3 linked regions of the Notamacropus eugenii genome follow. The protein of the gene in region 2 purifies or fractionates together with the protein of the main gene of each other region. This does not show direct contact. Links are inferred from orthologs where the notes say so. Each region holds a gene or a part of one and is shown on either strand. Other genes may lie near its edges.

Region 1 (6,967 bases), about 180 Mb from region 2:
CAATCAAAAGTTTTCACTCTCTCAGCACACACGCTAACTGGCAAAGACTAGATTGGAAAACTAAGGGTCAAGCTAGGTAAATGGGTAATATTAGACCAAGATGAAATAGTTGTTTTTAAACAGAGAATTGACCATATTACTCCCTCACAGAATTGAAAAGAAAATCTAAAAACATAGTACAGTTAAGAATCGAAGAGCAACAAAATTGTTTTAATCATATATGTGTATATGAGAAGAATGTAACATTAAGCTTAGTGGAAAAAATAACATTCCAATTCAATGCTACTGTAAGAAAGTAAGAGTTTCCTTTTAAAAGAAAAAACTGGAGCTACTTCCCTGAGAAGCTAAATAAACCGCATACTGTAACTTTTTTTTTTAATCTGAGGAAACTATAGTCACTTACCTCATCTGCTTGGTATCTTTTCTTCTAATTTAAAAAGTTTCTATTTAGGCATCCTGTACCATTCTCAACTCAAAATAACAGAAGGGGATTTGGATTAAGAGGAAGATATGGACTCAAATCCTGGATTCACCACATACTAGCTATGTACACTGGCAAGCCAGAGCTACCTCTATTCCTTATCTATAAAATGTCATCAAACAAACAGAACTGGATCCTTGCTGGCCACTATACACTGACTTAGAAAACCACAAATTAACATTATCTGTGTTATACTGTATTTATTTTTAAAAGCATTTTTCAATAAACTGACTCAGTTTTAAACCTTATGATTTTGACACCTTTCATTCAAAAGACAACTCTTATGCCAAAAGGCATTCCAATACTAATAACTTTGCCACTAGTTGGGTGACTCTGGACAAATAACTAATCCTGCTCTATAAAATAAGGATAACCTGTGTTCCCTGCCTTCCTCATAGGTATTATTACCTCACTTCCTAAACCCACCAGTCCTCCAAATTTGTACATTTACTGAGGGGACCACCATCTCCTCTGGCATTTATCCAGGCTTATGAAGTCCAAACTTTGTCAATTCCCTTCCTCACCTTTCAGTAAGTTGCCAAATTTAGTCAATTCTACCTCTAGAATTTGTATGGAATCTGTCCCCTTCTCCACTTAAAGACAGCTACCAACTTGGTTCAAATCTTCATCACTCCTTGCCTGTGCTACTATATTTAACAGCCTCTTAACTAGCCTCCTTATTTCTAATCTCACTCCTAATTTATCCTCCACAAAACTGCCAAAGTTATATTGATTATATTAGCCTGATTATATTATATTAGCCAAAATCACAATCATCAATGGATGTTCCAATGCCTAAGAGATAAAATGCAAACTCCTCAGCTTATAATTTAAGGCCTTTAACAACCTAGCTTCATCCTACTGGTCCAGCCTTATGCCAAACTAGTCCTCTTCGAGAATTCTACATTCCAGCCAAACTGGACTATCAACTGTTCCTGAACTTAAGGACCTTGATGTTCCATCCCTGCCTCACTACCCAAAGATAAATCACCCCATGTGCCTGGAATACAGTCCCCCATCATCTCTCCTCAGAATTTTTATTTCCTTCAAAGTTCAGCTCAGGAATCATTCTTCTGTAATGCCTTCTATGATCTTTCCAGTTCTTCATTGAATTTTGCCTTAAAGATTTTCTTTGCACAGTCTCTCCCCATTCCCAGGAAAATGTCACCTCATGGAGGGAAGGGATCACCTATCTACAGAAAATCTGAGAGGCCATCTCATCCCTACTCCCTTTTTTACAAAAGAGGGAACTGTGAGGCAGAAGGGGCAAATAAAGTGGCTTGCCAAAGATCATCTAACTGTCAGATTTAAGCCCAGGTCCTCTGACTTCAGAGGCAATGTTTCCCACTGTAACAAGCAGCTTAGAGGCTAAAGGGTGTTTTTGTGTTCCTATCATATAGCAGGATCTTAAGAAAAATGCTTTGACTTGGTTAACTCTAAGTTGTAACAAAAGTCATAACCTCTCAAAAATACTTTAATAGTTCGGTCTTACTGTACCCATTATGCACCACGTGGGTTTAACAGATGCAGCCAGATGACTCAAACACCACCAAATGGTATCTCCTACCTGAATTGGGCCTTTCACAGCAGAGGTAGATTTGGGATCTTTTCCTCCCCGTTCTTCCGGATAAGGCCAGAAGGTCCCCTCTCCCACTCCCTGGTTTACATTTAATTTACTCCTTATTTAACAGAACAGACAGGAAAACTACAAACGGATTAGCAGAAGGGGAAACCCAAAGCGAGAGCCTGAATGCGTGTGGGGGAGGGGCGTGCAGCGTGTTTCCAACGTGGTGGGAGCAGGAGGCCGGAGCCCGGGTGATGGGTGACAGGAATAAAGAGCGGGTAAAGCGGGTGCGATGGATTGGAGGGAGAGCGGGAGTGCGGAGGCTGGGTGGTTAGCTAGGAGTGCCCGGGAGCTCTGGTCCATCTGCTGCGATGTGTCCGGGCAAAGCACGCCGGGGGAGGGGAGCCGGACTCCGCGGCCAGAGCGAGACGCGTGGCTGGAAATAAGTACGGGCCGCGGAGAGTGGCGAGCAGCCCGCGAAGACAGAGCGGCAGCAGGCGGGCGGGCCCGCTCCGGAGCTCCTCCGGGCCAGGCGGGCGGGCGGGCAGGCTCTGCTCCACGGCAGGCCCCGCTTCTTCCTGCGGCTGCCGGCCCCCGCCAGGACCGCGCACCCCGCCGCGCACAGCCCGCCGAGGGTGGGCCTCGCGCCCCTTCCCCCCCCCACCCGGTTCCGCGCGTCCACCCCCTCCCAGCTCTGCTCCCGCGCCTCTAGCTTTACCTTGGCCAGCGACCGCGGCGGGGCCCAAGCCAGGCAGGTGCAGGTGGCGCTGAGGTGAGCGGAAGGAACAAAGTCCTGGTGAAGGCGGCTGCTGGCTGTCTCCCACACCCGCAGGTGACCATCCGGACCAGCTAATGAGAAGTAGTGCTGGCCCCGAGGAGAAAAAGCACAGGGAATCCCGGAGTGGGCCAGGGGGTCGCGGCGGCCTCCGCCACTCGCCGCCATTGCTCTTCTGGCCCCGCAGCAGCCACGTGTTCGGCCGCGCGCCTGCGCAGCCGACTTGGGCGGGGTGTATGGAAAGGAAGCTGGCCCAGACTGGACCGGGGTGAAGGGGCGGGGCTTCGTCGTCGCTCAGGGCGCCTGCGCGCGGCGGCCCGCACTACTTCAGGTATATCGACTTTCAATTGGGAGGTGCTTGGAAAAGCTAAAGCTTTCACCCCCCCTCCTTTTTTTCTTATAACGAACTGAGGTCCAGAGAGGGGGTCTCCTGCTCAAAGCCACAGAATTGTGTGGAAAAGGAATTTGAACCCAAATCCTCCAACTGCAGACAGATTTTTCTCCTGTGTTTCCTTATGTCCAATCCTGGGCTTGTAACCTGTAGGACATAGTAGGAAGATTTTGCACGCCTGTAGCTTTTCTTAAATTGATATATTTTCTTTTTACACATATTTTCTTTCCACTTAGAGACAAAGGATTTTTTTAGAAAGCCTTTTAGAGAAACAGCTGACCTCCCTGGCTTCCTTTAAGTCCTATCCAAAATCCCGTCTTTTACTGGAAGCCTTCCCCTAGCCCCTCAGTTCCAGTGCATTCCCTCTAGTAGTCATTTCCTATTTATAGCTTGCTTTGTGTATATTGGTTTACGTGTCGTTTCCTCCATTAAACTGTAAGTTCTTTGAGGGCAGAAGACTGTCTTGTACCTCTTTTTGTATCCCCAGACCTTAACAAAATAGTCAATTAATGTTATTGACTGATGGATGAATGGATTCATTGATTAATTGACCTAGTCTTCCACCTCTGCAAAGAAGGGGCTGCTGTCTCATTTCTTCTTTGGGGTCAAATTTGGTCATGAAGTTTACACACCTGTGACATTTTGAAGTTTGCCAGTCAATAAATAAATAAAAAAGGATTTATTTAGTACCTGCTAGGTGCCCAGCAGTGTGCTAGGCACTGAAGATATAAATACAAAAAACACAGAATCATTGTTCTCAAGGAATTCTATCAAATAGCCTATCTACACAGGCAATTTTCAATCACGGGTTCATTCAAATGTAATCCTTATGATGCAATGCAAAAAAAAGTTTCATTTGGAATCAGAGTATTCCTGGGTTTAAGTCCCTGTTCCGCTATTTGATGTGTGACTTCCAAATCACTTCACTGCTGTAAGGTTCAGTTTCTTTAGAAGTAAAATGTAAGATTGGATTAAACTGTGGATAAAGTCACTTCTGAGATGAGAGGTCATCTCAGATATTAATACCTTCTTCTTGCAAGCATACATTTAAGAAAATTAAAGAAGGAAAGTTATACTGAAAAATTAAAGAAAATGAAATTGAACCTCATACGCTTATAAAACAGATAGACACCTTTCAATAAGCTACCCTCTCCCAAAGATCCAGGTTCTGCCAAGTGTGAATCCCCCTGCAGTTATGCAGGGTCAGTAATTATCCTCCACAGTGGTTCGTGCTTGTGGTTTCCCCACCAGAACATCACCAGATATTTTTCTTGGATATGGCCAAAACCCTCTGGGCTGCTGGGAACATTCTTTGGTGTTGATAGTACCCCCAATTTCTCTGTAATTTTCTCTTAAATACTAAATAGGCAACTAGGTGGAATTATTCAAATTTCCCTCAGTAACAGAGAACATATTCTTTTTTGGTGGGTGGAGGGAGGAGGAAGGAGAAGTGGAAGGAGGAATAATTGGGTAACACAGTAGAAACTCTTTCCTATCCTCTAGTACACCCTTAGTCTCTTTCTAGTGAACTTCCCATCTTCCCAAAAATATGCTCAGGTTTCCCCAATCCTGAAAAGCCTTCCCTTGACCCTTCTAGTCCATTTAAGTACCACTCCAACTCTTTACTGCTCTACTACTAAAATTCTTGAAACAACTGTCTATACCTAATGTTTACCTGTCCTCACTACTATCTCCTTTCAATCAAGTTTCTTCTCCCAGAATTCTAATGAAACTGCTCTTTCAAAATGACCTCCTAATTGCCAAATCCAATGGCTTTTATTCAGTCCTCATACTCCTTGACATCTCTATAGCTTAAAGTTCTTCATAATGTGGTCCATCCTACCTTTCTGGTCTTCTTATACCTTATTTCCCTCCCTTCACTAAATGACCCACTTATATTAGCCTACTTTCTGTTATTCACACATGACACTTCACTCTATGCATTTTCACTGGCTATGACTTTCTCCTGGAATTTTCTCCCTCCTCATCAGGAAATAAATTGGGATTTTTTTTCCCTAGAAAGTAAAAAATGGATCTATTGTGATTTGACAGAGTAGAGGAACAACAAGGATGAAGCTCAAATTAAATTCACTTAGTCACATGAATTTCAAACTTCAAGATTACATTCACAAGATGGTTTTACAAGCTGTCAAGATAAAAGCATCACATAACAGTGTGTGGGATGGCTCAGGTCCCTACATAAATCAATTACCCAGAGACCTCTCAAAGTGATGACAGAAAAGAGATTTATTCGATTCTCGATAAGCGGGGCTCACCTGTAGGAGTACGAAAGCCGAAGACAAAGAAAAGGCAGCGATTTATATAGACTCTAACGCAAGTCCCTCCCCCCCCACTGACCATTATCCTCATTAGCTGAGAATATGATCTTACATTCTAGACACGAAATCTAACCAATCCCTTTTGAAATGAAGACATTGAAGAATTAGGTAAACTTTATCCAATCATTGAGACCCTAATGTACTACATAGTTTTATATCCTTATATGGAATTATTCTGTTCTAAAAATATAGTAACCTTGAGCCTCTCAGTCTTACCTCACCCCTAGGAGAAAAATTACAATCTGAGAAGTCTTCACTAAACCTATCCCACTCAACAGGAAGTAGCAATTTGAATTGCACAATATTTTTCTATAAAAATAAGAAAAGACATAGAAAGTTGAAGTATAATAGAATAAGATATTTATCCTGAAATCAGCTACCTACCATAATTAAGTATACTTTTTGAAGAAAAAAGGATGGTCTTTCAGAAATTCACAATAATTTGAAAAATGTGTGGATCCCCAAGACAATCTGGAACTATAATGTGCAGAATCAACAAGGTTTGGTTTGCAACAGATGAGAGTTGAACTGATGTAATAGAAAAAGCAATGGATGAAACCAGAAAAGATGGTGGATATAGAGGAAGTATTACAGCTCAGCTGTCCAGAACAACTAATCCAGTAAAAATTGAGGAAGAGCACCCAATAAAGGAATGATCAAGAAATAAAAAAAAAATAGCACCAAATGCTTTTTCCAGCCCAAGTTGATACAGAGAGATAGCCTGAGGCTTGAGGGAAGGGGGCTTACTCAGGGAAACTAGGACAGAAGCCTTCTAGGACCCTAGATAAAATATATTAGTCAAAAACAAGGTCCTACCATTTACTCCAGAAATGCATAGTCTGACCTGGACATGAAATTCTAACTTGGGAAGCAAGGCTGGAAAAATGAGTTAACAAAAGAACCTACTAGCTATAAAGAAATAATATGGATCCAAGAATGTCTAATACACAAACAACAAAGAACACAATAATTGTATGACATTTATACAAGTAAAGCCTCCCAGAATTACTTGGCAATAATGTCCATTAAATTTCTTAGAAGAAGTGGAACAAGTTTAAAAAGATACTATACATGGCATGAAAACTCTTGATCAGTGGTTTGCAAACTTTTGATCTCAGGATTCCTTTACTCTGTTAAAAATTGTTTAGGATTCCAAAGAACTTTTGTTTATGTTTTATATCTACTGACATTTAACATAATAGAAATTAAAACTGACAAACTTTTAAAATTTTATTTACAAACCCCATTATCTTCGATGAATAACTTAATATAAAATAACTATATATTACAAAATGAAAAAAAATTATTGAGTGGCATTATTTTTAAAAATTGAATGTCTGGCTTAATAGAAGAAAACTGGATTCTTATATCTGGTTCTGAATTCATTCATTTTATTGTGATGTATTGTTATTGATGA
Region 2 (7,885 bases):
GAGAAATTCATTAGGGATCTGAAAAGAAGAAACTAGCCAAAAATAATTAATAAATACTTGGGGTTGGTTTGAGAGACTAGAAATTAGGACAATTCATTTGAATGTCTGGGTCATAGGTTTAAGGCAAATCAGTGATTTAAATAGCATCTTACTAAAACCTCAAAAGGGGTTCCTCGCTATCTTGTTTTATTCTCACACCCTTAGATGCACAGTAGGAGACAGGTATATTTTCTATTTTTCTTTAGGGGAGACTGAGACACAAATAGGAGATTAAGTGACTTGTCCAGTACAGCTCTTCTGCCAGTCAGCTCCTTCCTCTTTCCACCAGGAAAGAGATCAGTCACTTTTACAAGTCCTGAATACTCCTTTATGGGTGCTGCTGGCTTAGGCAGGAAAGAAAATTAAAGGTGATCCATCAGTCAAACAATAAGTCAGCAAGCTTTTATGATGTTCTTTAATACGTACTAGACACTGTGCTCAGCATTAAGGATGCAAAGAAAGAGCAAAAACAGTCCTTGTCCTCAAGGAGCTTACATCCTAATGGGGGTAACTATATAAAAATAAATGGGTAAATGCAGAGAAAGTAGCCAAGGCAGATGGAAGTCAGAAGACTGGGGAATGGCAAAGGTCTGGAAGGACAGACCAGCAAAGACCTGCTAGACAGGGAGGTGTTTTACCAATCTTTCTAAAAAATATTTTCTTTTTCCCCAATTACATGTGAAAACAATTTCTAATGTGTTTTTTTTCAAATTTTTAAGTTCTAGACTTCCTCCCCACCAACTAGAGAAGAAGGCAAACTATTTGATATGTTATAAATGTGCAGTCATGCTAAACATATTTCCACATTAAGTCATGTTGTGAAAGAAAACACAGACAACTCTCCCCTCCCCCCAAAAAATAAAGTATATTTTATCAGTTTTAAATGAAGCCAGGGATTCTGAGAATATGTCGTTGGGAAGGAGAGCACTTTTGGAATAGCCAGCCACAAAGGCACGGACACAGAGTGTCCCTTTTAAGAACTATCTAGTAGGCTGGTATGGCTGAATAGGACAGTATCAGAGGGGAGCAGATGGTGAGAAACTGGTTGAGGAAGGAAGGGAATATGCTGTAAAAAGCCTGAGGCCCCAAAAAGAAAAATTTATAGTTGATCCTAAGAGTAAGAGAGAGCCAAAGGGTGGCACAGTCAGAGATCTGTGTTAGGAAAAGAACTCTGACAACTAATGGACTGGGGTGCGGAGAGCCCTGAGGTGGGGAGAGCCCTGAGGTGGGGAAACCAAGGAAAAAGCTACTGAGAGGCAATGAGGGTGGAGCCACATGCAAGAGTGTTATGGAGGAAAGATCTAACAACTGGTTGGGATGAAAAGCAAATGAGAGAGAGGGAAGGCGAGTGATCGGAAAGATGATGGTGCCTCTACAATCATGAGATAATTCAGAAAAGAAGAAAGTTTGAGAGGGAATATAATGAGTTTTCTTTTGGACATGATTATTTTGAGATGCCCACTGGGACATTAAGTTCAAAATGTCCAAAAGGGAGTTGGTGATGTAGGACTGGAGATCAGGAGAGGAACCAAGGCTGGAAAAAGAGCTGGGAATCATATGTATAAGAGAAATAATAATGATAATGATTGCTAGCCACTTCAAGGATCTCAAAGCACTTTACGCATGTTCTCTTGCTCCTCACAATAAATGGGGGAGATGGTTTTTTTCTTATTCCAGTTCACAGATGAAGAAATGAGGAAGACAGAGGTTACCTGATTTGCATAATGCCACAAAGATGGTAAGTATCTTAAGCAGAATTTTGACTCAGCTTTTTCTGACTCCAAGTCCAGCACTGCTCACTGAACCCATTGGGAGGATCACTAAACAACAGGTTAAAGAGAGAAGAGACGTAAGACAGCACCTTGGGGGAACATTTAGATCTGGTGGGCATGCCATGAGTGAAGGACAGCCAAGAGAGAAGAGGGTAACAAAACCCAGTCACATGAAACAGAAGTCAAGTAAAAGGATCAAGAAGAGGTCACTGGATTTGACAATTAATCAATGAGCAGATCACTGGTAACTGAGGAGAGCAGTTTCAGTACCAGTAACTATACTGCAGAGATTTCAGAAGAGTGTGGATAAGAATTAGAAACAGTGACCAGGTATTTTCCTCCCCAAGGAGTTAAGCTGAGAAGGAGAAGAAAATCTAGGATGATGGTGGGAGGATCTGATAGGATCAAATGAAGGCTTAAAAGGATAGGGGAGAGGGGGCAGTGTTTGTAAGTATCAGGGAAGCAACCAAGAGATTCCAGGGAGAGACTGAAAATAAGAGAGGATGTGCACAATGCTATGAATGGTATCAATTGTATATGGAATAGGATTATCCTCAGCAGGCAGAAGGACCAACCCTTACATCCTTAAGACTGTGGAATGAATGAGGGAGGATGTGATGGGGGACAAAGTCAGAAAGATGTGAGAGGGGCAAGGGGAGAAGAAGTGGTTCAGTTTAGATGGCTTTGCTCCCTCCTCCATGTGAGGACCCCCATCCATAAAAGGATGTTGTCAGTCCAGATGACTCCAGAGACCCACAGCAGACTGACCTTTTCCTGAAAGCTGTTGGCTGCCAGATTGTAGATCTCGACTGAGCCGTCCAATCGAGAGACAGCCAACCGGTTGGATTGGTGATTGTATGCCACACATCGGATCCCCACGGGAACATAGTTGAAGAAACGCACTCGATGAACCTTAAATTCACCCATTCCTGCAGACGGAAATGTAACTTATTATTAAGCACCTACTCCAAGGGATATGTCCTGTGCAACTGTTCAATGGAGGAATCAAAAGCAGCCTTTACTTTGTTTATTTGGGCCTCCTCACTGGGGGTGAAGGGGAATTATTTTTGAACATTTACCTGGTAATGTTACACCCTACATATTGTATAGCTCCTTGAGAGCAGGGGCAGTCATTTACCTTTCTTTGTATCTCCCATGCATAGTACCCAGCACACAGTAGGCAATTATTAAAAATGCTTAATGACCAACAACTAATAAATCGTTTCAAGAATCTCATCTTGGTCTGAAAGAAAGACAAAACAGAAGATTCATTCAGCAAGCAATTATAAATCACCTACTACGTGCCAGGGACTATGCCATGTACCAAGTGGCTTACATTAAACTAGGACAGGATAATTCAGAAAAGGACAGGGGGAGACCAGGGGTGCAACATGAGCGTAGAAAAATAATATATCAGACTTACAAAGTGAATACAAAGTGGGGAAGGGGGGAAATGAGGACAGGCCTCCTGTAGGAAACTGGGCATTTCATGAAGGAAAGGTGAGGAGACAGAGCATTCCAGGTTTGTACCCAATTGAAAGATAAGGAAACAAAGGGTCAGAGATGAAATGCCCAAAATAGCATGGCTAGGAGGGTGGAACTCTTCATCCCCTACCATAGGTTATCCCTCAGTGGTAAGGGATGGAGGAGGTCAAAGAAATCAAATGTACAAAGTAATGCACTAGGGAATGGAGACCCAGATTCAAGTCCTGCCCCTGACACCAGAGGCAAAGTCACTTTTAGTCCTGAGTTTTAATTTCCTCATCTGAAAATGGAGACAATGCTACCAGCATTACTCTTCGCGCTCAGGGTCTGGGAGAGGTCCGAGGGACACTTCAAATCCTATTTCCACAAACATTTATTAGGGCGTCCCATGAATTCCGCACTAAGCTCCACAGGACAGATCCCAACCTTACATTCTATCGGTTATATTCGGCAAGGACTCCCCTCCCATTCTTGTCAACTGAATACACATCTGTAAAAGTAACAATGTAACAACGTCAACAAAAGTAACAATCGATGAGGCATCCTGCGGTCTCTGGGAGAGATACAAAGACGAAGACTGGCCTTTGTTCATGGATAGGAGTACCTTTCAGCTCTAAATTCAAGGATGGGTATCATGCGGGGGGGAGGGGGTAAGGGGCTCACAGTCTAATAGAAGGGATAGTGGTCTAGGTGGGGGGAAAAAGACTTCAGAAAAGACCATTCCCCGGATTCTCTGACTCTCAATTTCCCCCGCTGTCAAATGAAGGAGATGCACTGGATGGTCCTTAGAATCCTGCCCGAATCCTACGCAGCTGGGGATGCGGGTCGGGGGCTCCCTGGACGCAGGGCTGGTCGGGGGAGGGGGGGTGACCCCGGGCGATCTGTAAAAGGCGGGGTGGGGCAGCCCCTCGCTCCCGGGGATGCCAGGAGAACGCAAAGCGCTTCTGCAGATCTTAGGACTTCAGTTTCACGGGGCACTGAGAGCTATTACCATAAACTGGCAACCCCTTAGTAGGCGCCTCCTGTATGCCTGCTAGGCGGGCGCCGAGAACCAGATGTTACCAAAAGGCGTGGTAAAAGGGCCACGGGCCGAGGGGCCTCCCGCCGCCCCCCCAGGTGATTTGGAGTGGCCGGCTACCGCGGAGGGAGGGCCCTCCCACCACGAGGCAAGGGTCGCTTCCCTCCCCCCATCGCCACACTCACCTTCGCCGGCCTCCGACCTCCGGCCTCTGGTCCAGCTTCCCCTGCGACTCGCGCTCCCCTCCCCACCCGGCCTCGACCTCGCACCACGTGCGCGCGCTTTGACCCCGGAAGCAGTCGCTGGCCCCACGGAGCCGGAAGTGCGCAGACAGTGTTAGCGGCGGCGGACGGTGGCGGCGGGAGGTTCGGTTGTCGCCCGTTGGCCGCGAGGCGCCGCGTTCGGCGGCCGCCATTGCAGGTCAGGCCCCGGGCGGGGCGTGCGGGAGGGGGAGCGGAAGGGGCCCGGGGGGCGAGGGCCGGGGCTTCGGCAGGCGCGGCGGCGGGAGGACGAGGAGCAGGGAGCCGGCGGCCCGGGAGGGAGGGCGGCGCGGGAAGAATGGCGGGAGGGGCCGGGGCTGAGGCGCGGGAGCGAGCGCGGGCGGGGGCGAGCGCAGCGGGCAGCGACCTGCGGCTGGGAGGCGGCGGCGGCCCCACAGGGCCGGGCCGGGCCGGGGCTGTGCACGGAGGGGACCGAGGGGGCCCGGCCCGGCGCGGGCCTGGCCTGGGAGCCACGTGGGTCGTGGCAGGATTAGTGCGTTGGGGGGGAATGGCTCGGCGGGGAAGGGACCGGGAACGTGGATGGAGAGGGGATCCAGGAAGTGCGAGGGGACCATTTGGAGGGATCCCAGGAAGAGGAAGGAAAGGGGAGGAGCCTGGGGCGGGGGCTGGCTGCGGGAAGCGGGGGGAGGCCCGGGGCAGGTATCGGAGATGGAGGGGGGAGGGCTGGAAGTGCTGGGAGGGAGCACCCGGGGCAGGGGCGCGGCGTTGGCGGAGGGGAGGGTTCGGACACCTGGAGCGAAGCCGGGCCCGGGAGTCGGTCCCGTGGAGGAGCGGGATCCTGACTGTTCCTCCAGTGCGCTGTGAAAGTCACATGTGCGCGGGGTCCACACGCCGCCCCTTCCTCACGAAAAGTAACGAAACATTCCCCCCCCACGTACATCTCATCCCAGGGGGCAGGGGCAGCCGGCCCAGCCAGCAGCTGGATAACTCCCACACAAGCCCAACAGTCACGAAAACACTGCTTAATAAAAAGATCTCATCTCGTGTAAAACCACGTTAGTTGTTCGTTGTTTGGAGGAAAGCACATGGGAAAAGTGCATAGTATTTAGCGTAAAAGTTATCCGAATATTCCGTGAAGCAGTCTGGTGGTAATCCAAGTTTCAATTCCTGGGAGACCATCTAGTTTAACTTTTTCCTGCCCAAGAAACTGAAACAGCCCCCTCCCACCAAGTTAAGTAATTTGCCCAAGGTCACTTGGTTAGAAAGTTGTTGAGGTATGATCCAGACCTCTAAATCCAGCATTCTTCAGGCGATTCAAGTGAAATAATGGTAAAGAAAGCGCTTTGGGCAGTATTTTGCACATAGTAAGCACTACTTAAATGTTAGTTATTATTTTAAGCAAGTTTGTGGCGAAGTACAGAGAAAGCAATTCATCTGGTCCTTCAAGTAACAGTTCAATATGGAGCCAACATAAATTGTGTTCAGTCGGTGCTTTCTGAACTATAAAATTGGAGCTTGTTTTTGCAAGATAGATGTTCTAAAGCAAAATTTTGTATCATGAATTTTGTAGGGAAACCTTTGGAAAGAGTTGAAAAAAATGGACTACAAATAATTGAAATTTAAAGTTGGTCTTAGGGAAAGGGATGCCTAAAATCACAAAATGAATGAAGGATTATCATTTCAGTAATTAAGCAAAATATCCACTAAGCATTCTTTTTTGAAAATTTTGGCTGTTTTAATTACATAGAACCTTTTTGGCTAGGTATTAAGTAACTTGTCCTTTAGGCTTTGTGTATAGCACCTTTTCCTCCAGGGCACTCTTAAGAAGTAACTTTAAGTGCTTGTTATTCTTGATGAACTCATTGACATGAGGTTCATTTTATTAGTGTTCTCATTTTAAAAATTAGGAGTCTGAAATTGAGAGAGATTGAGGGACCTCACTAAAATCAAAGCTAACCTGTAAAGTGGGCTCCCAGCCAATTCATTATTTAAGTCCACCTTGTCCAAAGCAACAGAAGCATGCATTGTAGATTGAATGCTTTAATTTCTGGGAACATGTAAATATGGAACCATTTTCTGTGACAGCTGCCTTCCTGAGGTTTTTCAAATGGAATACACAATTTTCCAGGATTTAATGTACCAAGAAGAGTTGAACATTTTAACAACCAAGAAAAACAAATAGAGCTAGGTCCTGATTGTGGCAAAGAATCTCCTGAAGCAATGGCATGTATTCAAATTCACAGTATTTGAAATTATAATTATATGAAATATGGTATAGAATTTTTTTCCCTGGCCACCTGACAGATACAGTAACTGCTTTGGTGTCTTTGTACAAATCAGTTTATTTTACTTTGACATGAATTCCTTAAAGCCACATTCTTGAAGATTTTTTTTGCCCCCTCCCACAGCATCTAGCCTTGTACCTTGTTTCCCTTGTAGTGCCTTAGGTGCTGAATAAATGGTCCATGAATAAATAATATGAGAATGAAGTTAGTGTTTATAAAGCATATTGAAATTTTAAATACCAGAAGTAAATAGTTACAGAGAAATCAAAAATATCATGTTTCCCAAAGTATAAATTCATGGTCATTAATCTTACCTAAAGCCTAAAACCTTTTCTTCTTTTTCTTTTAAAAAATAGTGGTTTTTTAAACTATCTTGTGTTACTCAGTATACTTTCATCTTCCTAGAGCTGAATTATTTCTGTGGATTTGAATGTTTTTGTAGCTGGCTCAGAGTTAAAACTAAGCATAGTCTCACCAGAATGGAATTGCTACTTCTAATGGCATTAGATTTATGCTTTCTAGTTGCCTCGTAGAGAAAAACTGATTGAAGTGGATTTGAGGAGCACTTCCACTGACCTGCTTTTAATTCAGTTGCATAACTTAATGGAGCTGTATAATTAGTGCATCAAAGTCTACCTGTGAAATTTTGTCACCTTACTGCTATCACACATACATTTCTGTATAGATCAGATTTTATGAGTTTCAAAGGCCAGTCTCAGTTAATTTTTTCACATTGAGTAATGTTTGAAATATAAGTAGTCTGGGGCTTAGAAATCTTTTTGCCAGTCAGTTTTCATTGTGAATGTTGGCTTTTATTTTAACAAGAGTTGACCTATACCCAATTCTCTGCCTTTTTCTTTCACAGCAGATATGTCTTAATATTACATTCCCCTTAATCCTGCTTTCTAGAGGCACAAATTGGACTCCTTCTGTTCTTCAGACCTCCCCTCATCGTACTCCAAACACTATATTCAATGAGTCATAAACTTTGGGCCTACCCAAACCCTAAAGAGTAAAATATTTAGGTACCTGAAGTAAGAATAGATATCAAGAAGCAAGGGAGGA
Region 3 (7,443 bases), on a different chromosome or scaffold from region 2:
AAATCAGCAAAGATGATAAAAGACAGGAAGCTAATTTTAGAGGAACTGTGAAAAAGAATGGCACAATGATACACTGTTGGTGAAGCTGCCAACCATTCCTGAAAGCAATTTAGAATTATGTTAAGAAACACAGAGACTCTAATGCTAGGTTTATGTCCATGGAGGTCAAAGTATAAAGGCCTCAACTATACACAGCCACATTTTTTTGTTGTTGTGGCAATGAACTAGAAACAGAGCAGATTTTTGCTGACTAGGGAATGGCTAAGCTAGACAGACTGTAGTACCAGAGAATAATGGAATATTTCCTGTGCTATGAGAAATGATTATAAAGAATACAGAATATTTGTGACTTATATGAACTGATGGCAGAATAAATTAAGCAAAAGAAGGAACACTATCTGTGTGTATAAATGTACAACCACAGCAATATAAGTGGAAGAACAAAATGAAACTGAATGGTATGCAATTATAATGAGCAAGTTTGACCTCAAAGAAGAAATGAGAAAATGGAATTTTCTCCCTCATTTGCAAAGGTGGGGAACTATGGGTACAGAACACTGCATATGCTGTCACAGTCATTTTATGTATTAGGTAGTTTCTTTAAGATTTGTTGTTGCTATTAGGGATGGTTTGCTGGGTAGGGAAGAAGGAAGAATATATTTGGAAATGATGATAATGTAAAAGGAAACGATAGCAAGTTGTTTTTTTTTTAAAGGTAGTACTGAAGAAAGTTTTTAACATTCTGAAGTCAGTAAATGCAGCATTTATTAAGCACCTACTATTTGCTAGGCACAGTGCAAGTGCTTTAGATTAAAAAACAGGCAAATGATAGTCCCCTAATCTCATGGAGCTCACAAGCAAAAAATACGAACCAACATATTATAACCAGGATAAATAAGAAATAAATAAAAGAGGGAAGGCCCTAAAATTAACATTAGAATTAAGAGAAACTGGGAAGGACTTCCTATAGAACATTCAATTTTAGTTAGGACTTGAAGAAAGCCAGGACGTAGAGATGAAGGAGAGAATTACAGGCATAGGGAACAGTCAGAAGTAATGCCTGGGGCCAAGAGATGGAGTGGCCTGTTCATGAAACAGTCACTGGATTGAAGAGTATGTAATGGGGAATAAGATATATGACAATTAGAAAGGTTGAGCAGAAATAGGGTGGGAGCATTAGTTATGAGGGACTCTGAATGTCCGACAGAGGATTTTGTATTTGAGCCTGGAGGTAACTGGGAGCCACTGGAGTTTATTGAAGAGGGTGATAAGGACAGACCTGTGCTTTAGGAAAATGATTCTGGTAGCTGAATGGAGGACGGGCTAGATCGGGGAGAGACTTGAGGCAGGCCGACCCACCACCAGGCTATTACAAGAGTTTAAAAGTGAGGTGAAAAGGGCCTGCACCAGCGTGGTGGACAGTGTCAGAGGAGAAAAGGGAGATGCTCTAAAAGTGAAATTGACAAGTCTTGGCAACACATTGTTTATGGGGGGATGAGAGGCAGCCAGGAATCCAGGACTCCTAAGTTGTGAGCCTAGGGGACTGGAAAGTTGGTGGGGCCAGTAGCAGAGAAGTTTGGAGGGGGAAGAGTTGGGGAAAACACAGTGAATTTTGTTTTGGACATACTGATTTTGAGATGTCTCCTGGACAACTGCTTTGAGAAGTCTGAAAGACAACTGGAGATGGGAGACTGGAAATCAGCTGAGAGGATATGGCTGGATAGGTAGATCTGAAAATCATTACCACAGGGATCACCAAGTTTAGCAGTATAAAGGCGGAAGGGAAGAGGGCCCATGATAGAGTCACATAGAACACTCACTGTTGGATGGCATGTCCTGGATGAATTTCTGGAGATAGATGAAGATAGAGAGAGAAGTGTATCAAGGAGAATTGGTGACTGTCAGTAGTCAAAACCTGCAGAGAATATGTGTGTGCATGAGAATATATGCATATGTATATATATGTATGTATATGTGTATGTATGTATATATGTGTATATATGTATACATAGATACATATAGATGCATAGATATAGCTAGATACACACATATGTATATATACGTATCTATATCTGTATCTCTACATACAGTTGCACTCCCAGGGCTTTGCAATATATTCTGCTGTTGTATTCGCAGGGCTTGGCAGTGAGCCTGGCCGATCAAAGGGCCTGTCTTCCATCCCCCAGTTACCAAGCATCAGAGAAGGCTGTCACCCCCAGGGGTTTCTCCTGGTACTAAGTTCTAGGTAGCATCCCAGGGCTTCTAAGAGGAGGATGATAAAGAACTATGAAATCATGCGTGGGGGCTTTGTCACAGAGCGAGAGTGGAGATGTGGAGGGGGGGTGCGTGTTCCACGTGTGTCACGGCGTACATGCGTGTGTATGCGGAGATAGAGGTGGCACGCGTCAGGCGCTGTGGGCACGGGACCTCCCGGCGCTTCCCACGCTGGGAGCAGGCCCGGGAAATATCGCGATCGCTCCGGAACTATTCCCCTGCCCCGGGTCCGCGGCCTTCTCGCCCCGATCGCGTGTCCCGCGTGGGCACGTACGCGGTCGCGGTCCCCTCTGCTCTCCCTCGCTTCGACCCTCCCACGGGCACCTCCGGCGGCGCGCGCGAGGGAAAGCTCGGCCGGTGGCCGCTCCCCGCTGCTCCCGTCCCCCGAGGAATCCCTTACTTGGAATCAGCCGAAAACACCGCTCTCCGTAAGTTCAACTTGCTGCCCCCGCTGCGAACCACGCGAAGGTTCTCCCCAGCCACCATGTTGGCCCCGGAGCTGGAGCCTCTGACCTCCGACCTTGGGGCGGGGCTTCTGTGTTCTTTTATGGCTTCACGAGCACACGCAGCGGTGGCGTTAGGCGGAAGAGTCCATGTTAAGTAATAAGTTGAACGATGGTTCGTCTGCGGGAGACTCTGAATGGACCACAGTTGACGCAGAGAGTATCCTCTAAACGTTCAGTTTTATACAAAAAACCGTCGCCTCATTTTGGCTTCAGAAATAAGCCTCGAAAGTCTCTTCTGCCCGTAGTCAAAATGGCGATTCCGTGGGCACTCGTCGGCTCCTCCCCCTCCAAAGCGCATTGGTGAATCTTGTCTCGGCGCTTCCTGATGACGTTGTAGCCAGGGGTCAAACGCGTGTCTCGTGGCGCACGGCTTTAGCCGGGTCTTCCTTTTTTCTGCTTGGTTGTTCCCTTAAATTTCCGTGTCTGCCTGTGCTCCGGCATGCCCTCCAGTCTGGCCCCGGGACCTTCCCCGGGCTCTGTTCTGTTTCAAAGAAATTTGGATTAAAAAACCTCAGGAGGAAGAATGCATTGAGCCTCCGAAAGAAAAGTTCAGTTTCGGCTGATAGGATTGCCTGGGCGGACTTTGGGGTTTAAAATTGCACGTTGATGCCCTTTGGGGTACCGCCTGTACGGCTGTCTTCAGCGCTGGGGGAAGAGTAAGAAAACGTGCTCCATGGGACCATTTAGCGCTTTTATAATTCTAGTCGAAAGAAGCGGGAAGAATTTTGTTCTGTATTTCATACGTAGGTAGAGGAGAAGAGTCTGAGGTTAGGCGCCGTGCCACCTTGGGCATCTCGTAACGAGGGCCTCGGGGCGAGCTGCTTAGGGACGTGCCCTGCGCGGTATACTAGGGTAAATAAAGGCAGGCAGGGCCGCGTGGGTGACCCCTCCGGGCTATGCCCGCGGCGTGACCGACTGCGGCAGTGGACGAGGTTCTAGCCAAGGAAGAAGCTTCTCGTGACAACGGAGCTACCCTGGTAAAAGCAGGTAGTGAGAGGCGCGAGGCTTTCTGAGCTCAGGGACATCAGAGGTGGTTTTTTCTAAATAGCCCATTGTCCACGATGCCTAACGTCTTCACGTAGGCTTTAAGGTAGGATCACTTCTAGGCTCGTTGTAAAAAAAAATGTAAGCCAGACCCACAGTGCAGTGGGAGTGACCGCCGCTGTGTCCGTGGAAGGCGAGAGCCTCCCCGAGCATGGGTGAGGAGGCAGGGTGGAAAGGGGAAAAGACCGCAGCCCCCGCCGCGGAGCCCCCGCCGCGCAGCCCCCGTGGGAGAACGGACACGGAGGGGCGCGGAGACCACGCGTCCTGCCCCGGGGGAGCTGCCACCCCGAGGAAGGGGAGGGCGGAGGTCAGGCACGCGGAGCCTTCCGTCCCCGTCAGGGTTTGGTATCTCCAAAGTGGGACGGAGCAGGAAAGGGGGGGTCAGGAGTAAGGTCTGCAAGGCAAGAACATGGAAGCTGCTTGGGAGGAGGAGCCCAAAGCAGGCCTTGCAAGAGGAACAGAGACTAGAGGAGGAGTAAGGAAGGGCCATCAGTCTAGGAATAACTGTGTAAAAGAGTATTTTCTAAAAGTATTTGTTTTAAAAAAACTAACCAAAATTGAAGGGGAGAGAGGAACTTTGACAGAAAATTAAGTAACTAGATAAAAAGAAAGAAGAAGGAAAACTCCAGCACTAGGGAATGAGATAACAAATGTGGGAGTCAGGAGACTTGAGGGTGAGAGGAAGGAAGCTGGTGGGAATGAGGTTGCCGTAAAATAGATTAAAGTAACTGGGAGACAAGTATTTGTTGTGTTTACCAAAGGGTCGGGGAGGACTTCTAATTTTGAAAAAAAAATCGGAGACAAATGAGGGGGAAATATAAACCTAATTACTAACCACATGTGAAGGGATTAAATAATTCACCTTCTTAAAAAAAGCGACAGATGGGATAAGAAAATATAACCCCACCATCTATTGCTTACAGGAGACATTAAAAAAAAAACCGGACATAAACAGAAAAAAGACAAGGGGATGGATTTTTTTTTGGTTAGATGAATAAAAAAAGTAGTTTCAGTCATGCTATCAAACAAAGTAAAATCAAGGAAACTGTTGAAAGGACCCATAGACAAACTACTTTCTATATTAAACTTACATACAAGTATTTTAGCTTCTGAATTAATAAAGGAAACAGACTACAAGAAGACATAGACAGTAATAGTGGCAGGGGATTTCAGTGTCCTTTCAGTTTTGTCCAAGTCAAACAATACAAAAGGGAACATACAAAAACTAAAATTCCGGAGAAACTAGAGTTAAAAGATTTATGACATCTAAGTGCTATTGATAAAGAATATAAGTATTTCTCAATATCTCATGGAACTTTTAGGAAACTGACCTAGCTTTAGGGCACGGAGCTATTGCAAATATGAAATAACAACTAGTAAACTCACCCTTTGCAGAACGTGTTGCAATAAAAATACTCATTGGTTTAGAGAGCACAACAAAAGACGTGGGCCAAAATGGAGATTTAACAATGAAATCCTAAATAATGAATGAGTCAAAGGACAAAGAAGCAATGATTATTGATGAAGGGAAAACTGATGAAGCAACATACCCAAATTTCTGGAATGCAGCTAAAAATTGTAACTAGAGATACACATTAATAAAACAGAAAAGAGGATTAATGAATTGAATATACACTTTAAAAGTTAGAAAGCAAACAAAGTAAATACAAAAAAGGAGTTAATGAAAGTAAGAAATAAACTGAAAACCCCAAATACTGAGGGAAATGGAAAACAAACCCTAATCTGCTTCTCTGAAAAGAGTAAAAATTGATGAACTTTTAGCCATTCTGATCAAAAAGAAGAGTGCAGGATATCACATCAATGAAATGGCAAATGAGCAAGGTGAAATCAAAAAGGAGAAATAAATAAAAATTAGAACCTACTATATGCAGCTATAATAATTGAGAACATAAAAAAGTAGAGGAATGCTTTCAAAGTATAAAACACCCAAACTAGTAACAAGACTAAATAGCTTTAAAAAACCGCAATTACTGAAAAGGAACTGGTGTGAAAGTACTATGGAAGGAGAAGGGGGAGGGGCGCTCTGGTCCTGATGTATTCATAGGAAAATTCTATTATGCTTTTAGTAAATTAGTATCAATACGTCATATTCTCAAAAATTGGGAAAGCGCTCTACCACATTCCTGTTATGAGACAAATACAGTCATGGGACCTCAGGATGAAGCACAGGAGAATGATAGGTCTATCAATAAGGAATGTCAATTTAGAAATTTTAGAGGACATCCTGGCAGCCAAACATTGTAGCAGTATAGACAAGAAATCATTCATTATGACCAAGTTAGAGTTATGCCAAGGATGCAAGGATTATTCAGTTTTTAGGAAAACAACATAACCATAATGGAAACAAAATATTCTCAGACATGATTATCTCAGTAGGTACAGGAAAAAAAAAAAAAGCTTTGACAAAGTAAAACACTCATATTAAAAACTCCCAAAATTATAGGTTTAGGAAGATCTTTTTTAGTAGCATAAAAATATTTAAAACTAAAAGCAAGAATATAAAACATGGCTACATTAATACCTTTGTCAATAAATAGGGTAGTCGATCAAAGATGTCTACTCTCCCAAACATAGTTCTGTGGAAATGCTGGTTACAGTAATATGACAGAGAGATTAAAGGTATTAAAAACAGGTAAAGAGGAGATGAAACTATCACAATTTGCTGATAGGATGATTTACTTAGAAATCTAAAGAATTGACAAAGATACTGATGGAAACAATTTCAGCGATGTTGTAGGCTACGAAATGCACAAAAATAAACATTGTAATCTAGTTAATTACAAGATTTAAGAATCTCTAATAGGGAAATCTAATTCCAAATAACTACAAAATGTGTAAAGTATCTGGAAATTAATTTACTAAAGCACACAAAAAACTTAGGGAATACTTACAGAAATCCAAAAATAATTATGTACATTTATATACATACATATGTTTGCACACATATTCAATTACAAAATGCTCCTTCAAAAAAACTGCAACTTAATTTGAGAAATATTTGGTGTTCATGACAGCTGTGACAATGTAAATAAAAATGGCAGTGCTACCAAAGTTAATTTACATTTTTTCATGCTATAAGAATGATATTACCAAAGGAACACTTTATAGACCTCAACAAAAGATGAACAAAATTGCAAAAATAAAATAGCTAGAATATGAAAGGAAACAATGAAAAGAGGTAGGGATGAAGGAGAAATAGCACTTGCAGACCTCAAACTATATTATAAAGGAGCAGTTATCAAAGTCATCTGCTATTGGTTAAAAAAGAAATAGATCAGTGACAAGGTAAAAATCAGAAAAAATGGAATTCAATAATCCAGAGTTCAATAAACCAGAAAATAGTTATTTAGGAAAGAACTCCCTATTTCATAAAAATTGCTGGGAAAACTAGAAAGTCACCTGGAAGTAATTGGGCTTTGACCAATACCTTACGTTATATTTTATAGTACAATTTAAGTAGACCTTAATATTAAGGATTGAGCTACAAAAATTTAGATCACATACCATGTATTAAATTACACAACTGTGAATAGGAGAGCTATGGGTAGGAGAGTTATAATTAACCAAACAAGTAATAGAGGCAATTACAGAAGAAAAT

Evidence for each region. Proteins that work in one complex are often made in the same cells at the same time.
Region 1: the proteins of UTP4 (region 2) and WDR43 purify together in Homo sapiens (co-immunoprecipitation; 5 studies listed by BioGRID and IntAct, counting the BioPlex papers as one, with this or other methods). This does not show direct contact. The link is inferred for Notamacropus eugenii from reciprocal best matches to the Homo sapiens genes UTP4 and WDR43.
Region 3: the proteins of UTP4 (region 2) and WDR75 purify together in Homo sapiens (co-immunoprecipitation; 3 studies listed by BioGRID and IntAct, counting the BioPlex papers as one, with this or other methods). This does not show direct contact. The link is inferred for Notamacropus eugenii from reciprocal best matches to the Homo sapiens genes UTP4 and WDR75.

What each region holds. Positions count from the first base shown.
Region 1 is NC_092872.1:530,597,058-530,604,024, reverse strand, and holds the start of WDR43 (WD repeat-containing protein 43), read right to left. Parts: upstream 3,075-6,967; 5' UTR 2,989-3,074; coding exon 2,764-2,988; intron 1-2,763. UniProt on the Homo sapiens protein: Ribosome biogenesis factor that coordinates hyperactive transcription and ribogenesis. Part of the small subunit (SSU) processome, first precursor of the small eukaryotic ribosomal subunit.
Region 2 is NC_092872.1:708,525,463-708,533,347, reverse strand, and holds the start of UTP4 (U3 small nucleolar RNA-associated protein 4 homolog), read right to left. Parts: upstream 3,052-7,885; 5' UTR 2,969-3,051; coding exon 2,950-2,968; intron 2,741-2,949; coding exon 2,580-2,740; intron 1-2,579. UniProt on the Homo sapiens protein: Ribosome biogenesis factor. Involved in nucleolar processing of pre-18S ribosomal RNA. Part of the small subunit (SSU) processome, first precursor of the small eukaryotic ribosomal subunit.
Region 3 is NC_092876.1:256,516,172-256,523,614, reverse strand, and holds the start of WDR75 (WD repeat-containing protein 75), read right to left. Parts: upstream 3,075-7,443; 5' UTR 2,761-3,074; coding exon 2,675-2,760; intron 1-2,674. UniProt on the Homo sapiens protein: Ribosome biogenesis factor. Part of the small subunit (SSU) processome, first precursor of the small eukaryotic ribosomal subunit.